Linked DNA regions of Kluyveromyces lactis. The protein of the gene in region 2 purifies or fractionates together with the protein of the main gene of each other region. This does not show direct contact. Links are inferred from orthologs where the notes say so. Each region holds a gene or a part of one and is shown on either strand. Other genes may lie near its edges.

What was found.
Region 1: the proteins of MEC1 (region 2) and RFA3 purify together in Saccharomyces cerevisiae (affinity purification with mass spectrometry; 3 studies listed by BioGRID). This does not show direct contact. The link is inferred for Kluyveromyces lactis from reciprocal best matches to the Saccharomyces cerevisiae genes MEC1 and RFA3.

Annotation. Positions count from the first base shown.
Region 1 is NC_006037.1:587,524-589,790, forward strand, and holds RFA3 (Rfa3p), read right to left. Parts: upstream 852-2,267; coding exon 501-851; downstream 1-500. Other genes in the region: KRE9 (Kre9p), read left to right, coding at 1-255; CPS1 (Gly-Xaa carboxypeptidase), read left to right, coding at 1,690-2,267. UniProt on the Saccharomyces cerevisiae protein: As part of the replication protein A (RPA/RP-A), a single-stranded DNA-binding heterotrimeric complex, may play an essential role in DNA replication, recombination and repair.
Region 2 is NC_006039.1:1,367,632-1,371,984, forward strand, and holds the end of MEC1 (protein kinase MEC1), read right to left. Parts: coding exon 249-4,353; downstream 1-248. Other genes in the region: NVJ2 (Nvj2p), read left to right, coding at 1-208. UniProt on the Saccharomyces cerevisiae protein: Serine/threonine protein kinase which activates checkpoint signaling upon genotoxic stresses such as ionizing radiation (IR), ultraviolet light (UV), or DNA replication stalling, thereby acting as a DNA damage sensor.

The DNA.
Region 1 (2,267 bases), on a different chromosome or scaffold from region 2:
CAGACCCAACCAGGAACTGCAATTACAGTAACAACATGGTCCAGAAGGTACGCAACGAGTGCAGTCACCTACTATACCAGTCTTCGGAACTCACTGGAACAAATGACCACTTACACCCCGGGTTGGTCCTACTCAAGAACTTCTGACTACAACTATGCAACTCCTGCGCCATTCCCCTCTGATAACGGTGGTTGGTATGACCCAACTGATAGACAAACATTAACCACCAGAAAACTGAACAACAAGAGAAGGTAAAAAGGTGATGATCCAATTATGATACAATCGTGCATGCATGCCCCTAGGGCTACTCTAATAACAATTTATTTTTTTTTGGTTGGCTTTCTGTTTAAGGATTACAAGAGATATTTTGGGTTTCCGTAATACTGCCTTCATATAAATATACTTATACAAATCAAAAAAAAAACACACACACTCATATATTTATAATTCTTTCCAGTTTTGTCCTCTCACCATCCTCCCCTCTTTTCAAACGTAAAAACTTAGTACAAATCTGGGAACTTGCCACTCAATTGTTGTAATGCAACTATACCAGAAACACTGATCTCTTCACCTTCTTTCAGCTCACATTTCACAGAATCAAGCACCATCAACCCAATATCACCGGTATCGACATTTCTGCAAACAAATTCGTACCAGGATCCAACCTCAATGTTACTTCCTTGTGACAGTTTCACTTGTGATAGCGTTATCATTTCTCCATTGGTTGTTGGAGATTGTAGGATTAACTCTTTTGGTTGTGGTTGATCTAACACCTTGGCTATGATACGAAACACTGAGTGCTGAGTATTGCTTATTTGGCTCGGGTCAATTCTTGGCGTTTGGTTGGACATCACTAGCGGTTGTTGGTTGCTGGTTGCTGCTGTTAAAGATGAGTCTGCTGTAATGACAAGTTCACGCGTTTTAACAAGATGCATTTAATATACAGAAATATAAATAAATTGATAACACAGGTTTTCGTGTGCAACTTTGTGACCGGGTAACATACAATTGGAAATTTTTCTTTTGATTTCATGACAACGGTCACGTGAACGCTATTTTTTCTTTCTTGTCATTCCACCAATTCCCAATAGAAGATCCATGCGGCCAGAGGAATGTAATGTGCATTATGTAATGAACAGATTCCTCCATGAAAAATCCAGGTCAATTGTATCAGTCTTAAAGTATGCTGACTCGACCTCGTCTTGTTCTAAACAGGCTGGAATTTGCCCATTTTTTTCGATATCCTCTCTGCCTTTTTTTTTTTTTTGCCCAAGCTTAGAAGTTGTCAGCTGCATGCTTCATGCTGGCTGCATAAAATATCAGCAAGATTATTCTCGGTCTTCGGTGCCTCTAAACGTACATACGGAAACAGAGTACAACAGAGGTACGGTATACCTGGATGTGTTCTTATAATGCACATATATATAGGTAAGTAGGTAAGTAATATGGTTTGTCAATCCACGGGCTTGTCCCACTTTTGGCTCTGGCATTTTGCTGCATCTTGGAACGCATTTATTTTCAATTGTTCTTTAGTCTCGAGAAGTCCCTTTTTTTTTGATAATTAAAATTTTAAAGATAATCAGCTCATCTTTAAGGCACACAGGTGGATAACAAGTGGATACCCTTGCTTTAGAATCGTATTAAACTCTATTGTAGGGTTCGTGTATTATCAAGGGCTCTAAAAGAAATATGGCAGACGAGAAACGTGATAAGCAGCCGGTGAAAGGCTCCAGTTCGAAGACTTTGGTTCTTCTATTGGCTTCGCTCTTTTTAGCGGGTTTTGGGTATTTGCTCCATAACCAGAATTACGACATCGAACAAGTCAAATCGTTGGTTGACCAGCATTTCAGTAATACGTTTGGAACTTCCATTGGAAAATTGGTAGTTGAAGAAGAAAATGATGATGATGAGATTGATTTTGACTCTGTATGCTTGAAGACAGAGCCAATTAGCCCATCCGGTGAGAGCTCCATAGAGAAGATTTTGAACGATGCTGAGTATAAGAAATTAGCTATTGAAAAGCTATCCGGTGCCTTGCAAATTCCTACTGAGATTCAAGACGTCAACCCTAGACCAAAGGATAATATTGAATATTATTCGGAGTTCTTTAAATTTCACAAATATTTGGAAGAACAGTATCCATTGGTTCATAAACATTTAAAGAAGGAATTGGTTAACGAGGTTGGATTGGTTTATACCTGGGCTGGTTCCAACGCGGATTTGAAACCTGTTATGTTCACTGCACACCAAGATGTTGTGCCAGTGAA
Region 2 (4,353 bases):
AGCCAGGTCAACATCTGGGTCTTACTCCCCGACATCTCCAGATGTTTATAGGAGACATGAGATGAGCTACTCATTTACAAATAATGAAAACCTGAATCCGCATTCCATCACATCTTCAGATATTCTCGAGGAAGCAGAGAACATGATCCCGGAAATCAACGCACAGGTTCGGAAAAAACGCCCTCCTCCTCCATTGCCTCCACGCTAGAAACTTTGTAGAAAATTGTAACATAGATTTTAAGGAATAATTACCAAAAAGGCAACCAACCGATATACATTTTACTTAGATTTTCCACCGAACATGATTCTTGAGTGAGAGCTTCCACTTGCCCACTAACACTCAAAGCCAGTCCATCACGGGCATCAATGCCTCTAATTTTGTCTCGAAGAACTTTAAGGGCGTTTTGTATTGACTCATCGATTTTCCTGTCATACATAATAGTTTCAATTATGTTTACAAGACCTATTTCATTGTTTCTCATGACTCTTAGAGTAACTTCACTTGACTTTTTGAAAGTACCCTCCGTTCCAATAATACCAAATGCGTCAGTAATATTTTGCGTCAATCTGAATGGAACAATTTCTGGAACAGGAAGCTTTTTACCCTTCTCGAAAAGACAGTCAAAATCAACATGCAAGACTCTTCCTGTCAAGACATCCAAAAGGATATTTTCACAGTGTCTATCCCCGAGACCCAATATATGGCCGACCATTGCCATAACAGAGTAAGATCTGACAAATCCATTTCTTGCGTTATACCATGTGATTGGATCCGGGAAGTTGTCAAGAAACCACTGATATAAAACTGGTGGAAACTTTTTCAAACAGTCCTTATGAAACGCCAACTTTTGGTCCGAAGGTATTGATTGCCATTTTTCCTGTAATGATTTTAATGAGTATTTTATCTTCATACTTTCATATTTCATACTCAAAAGCGAACGTAACGTAACCACGTTAGGAACTATTTCTAATAGTCCACAATCTTCACGTAAAGAGAGAACACCATAAGTAGTTATTCCTAAATTTCGTTTTCTAGACTCGACATCTTTACTCAACAGGAAACTCATTGTGTTGGCAAACTGCATATATTGATTATCCTGTCTGACATCCTCTTTTTTGCACATGATGCCGTAAATATTTCCATCAGAGCCGATCACAGTGAGCTTTTTCGGTTTTTTCAAACTGTTAAATACCATGTACTGGGATGAAAATCTGGCGATGGAAACCATGACACTTTTGAATAGATCTGAGTTCATGCTCGTAGCTGTGGATGGTAAAAGCTTCTTTAAATTAATGTTGACGGGCACACACATGTCATTTGGCGCGAGTTCTAGATTAAATTTGAAATCACTATCTATTGATCTCCCTGATCTGCTAGCAGTATTCTTAACGTCTTTTATACATACCCTGGTCAATGACTGCACCAATGATATCGCTGTTCCTGGTAATTTAGTCCTTGGGTTTTTTTTCTGGAATGCTTCAACTATTTGTTTCCCTATATTCCTTCTTTCCAGGCTTTCTGAGTTCAACAAAATCGATATATACCATAGCATCACTGAAGGATATTCCAACGTCATATGAAATAATATGTTAACAATGGTGTGTATTGTCGCGGTATGAGGATGCATTAACCTGGAGAGAAGTTGAGTTAAAACGGTATACCATATATGTATACCGCAATTTTTGACTGCCGTATCGATTTTGTTGCAGATTCTTGAAGAATAATTACTAACATCAGAAATGCTATTATTCACGTCGTTTTTAGCTGTGTCTAACCAAAGTGTGACAACTTTTGGCAAGGATTGTCTTATGTTGGGAGAGCCTTTCTCGAAAGAGGTCAAAAAGTTTGTGATTGATCTATATTCTAATGAGCCATCAGAAACATATCCTTCAGCCTTTTTCTTCTCCAGAAGCTTACTGTAATACAAACCCATAGAGTAAAATGGAGCGTCCCAATTTTTATCAAAACGAATAAGCTCGTTGTATTGCTTGATAATTTGCTCAGAAACCGAGCTATTAGACAAATCCAACCACTCCGTATACTTCAATAGCACTTCCTTGAAATCTTGATTTTCGGAGGAAGCAGTAGAAGGATCATCTTTAAATCGTTTTGTTATCTCTGCAACAGTTTTCAAGGCCATATCTTTTTCACCTTGTTTCCATAAAATTTCTGCAAACTCAAGCTCCGCGGAATGGTGGTTATATTTCAAAGCATTCATCAAATCTTCTGCTGCCAAATCAAGACGATTTTCTTTACGATCAAGCTGAGAAAGTTGGAAATACACATTCGAAATGTCATTCTGTAGATGCTGATTCTTTGAAATAATTTCTACAGTTTTCCTTATTGACAAAAGATAATGATTTGGAGAAAAATCCGAACCTACGTGCGACAGCCTACCATCTAATGCTTTCGAAGCATTTGAAAATTCAGACTGAGTATGTGCGCTGCACAGCAGTTTGATATCTGTAAGTGCGTGAAGCTTTTGCAAAACTTCTCGATTCTTCAACAAAGTTGTGCTAGTAGATGGAATGGTAAATTGGGCTCCAATAAGAGTGAAACATTTGTTTATATAGCGCTCCACATTTTGCTGCTGATTTCTACTAACAGCTTGCAAAACCTTGGCAATATTATAATGCAAAAGTAATGAGGGATCGTTAAACATTTGAATGTGCTCCACTCTTTCAATCCACCTCGTTAACTCAACAATGTTACCAGTTTGACTGACAGCTTCAATACCCATATTCAACAAATCTCCGTCATTATCGACCAAGAATCCCTTCGTCTCAGGAAGATGCACTTTAACCTTCATCAATAGTTCTTCGTATAGTTGATGGCTATACATTGACTTTAACATTTTCATATTTGATGACTTAACCAGTTCTGAACTAGTGGTAGAATTAGCTGATAGCTTAAAATCACCAAGAGCTTCAAAACAGTCTTGAGCCATTTTCCAGTTTTTTGAATATTGCAGTTCTTCTATTTTTGTGGTTAAATTCCCAGTAGAAAACATCTTTAGCACACCACCTACAGCGTCTACATCCCCAATTTCGGCATATGTGTTCTGAATACATTGCAATAAGTCGGTGGACGCCAAAGACGAGGTTCCGTGTTCTCTATAACTTTGCTCAAGGTAAAGCGCTGAGCGTTCAAAGGAATCTGTTTCCAACGATTTCTTGGCGAGGGTGTCTGACGGTATTGTGTTTACGAATCTCTCAGTTCGGTCCAAAACTTGCAAAACTTTATCCTCCTGAATCATGTAAGTTCCGTTGGCTGCTTGATAGTCTTGCTTGAAACTACTAACCCATTTTTTACAGTATTCATAAACCCTGAAAATGGTATTGTAAGCCATCTTGAGCGAGTCTATCTGAAAGTGATTTAGTTGCTGAAGATCGAAATTGAAAATGAACTCGAACTCTATGGAGAGATTTTCGATGATTTTCGAATACTCGTTATGTTTATTGGCTCTGAGAATGATATCCATCGTGATGAATGGCAGTAAGAAATTTGATAATGTACCATCATCTTCTCTGATCAAAGAAGAAAAAACGTGAAGCGGATGATCTTCCTCTGTACCTATCTTAAGCAAGTCCAAAGTAAGGTTGCGTATCCACACTTGGTAGCCATCTTTCACTTTAAACGAAGGATAACTCAAGGGAACATATTCTTTCCACGACTGGGCAAGATAGAGCGACGATAGTAATGGAAACAAAGTGGTCTTAGAGATATCATTAAACCTGGACCATAATTTAGCTTCTACAGGATAATCATCGGGTCTGTTAATATCCCAATTAACTGAACTGAGCCCACAATACTTCAGAGATTCTTGCATCACCAATGCAACGAATAGTTGTTTTGTGGGGTTTTCACTTTGCCAGAATGCGGGTACTAAAATGTTGTTTACAATACTGATTAAAAATTTGACTGTTTGGGAATGATTATTAAAGTCACAAATTTCTTCAGATAGATTAGTATTCCTGGGTAGAGCATGCTTGGTAACATCTAATAGTCCTATCAGGCTAATACATGATGCTGCTATTTGACAAATTTTGAGATCTCTATTTCTAAATTTGTAAGTGGAATCAAGCAATGCCCCCAATAACGTGGACAGGTGCGACGAATCGTCATGTTTTGTTACAACGTCGACATGTTTTCTGTGAATGGTTGTGCTGAAATACTTTTCCAACTCAAGCAGGGTTTGCAAAATGACATATCTATTGTTACTTCCGAGATTTTCTGTGAAAACCTTGAGCCAGTTGGTAGTTGAAATAACCTTCAAAACCTTACGAGCAACAGTGGGATGTCTCTCTAGGACCTGAAATTCTGGGTTATTTAAAAATGCGAGAAGTATGAAT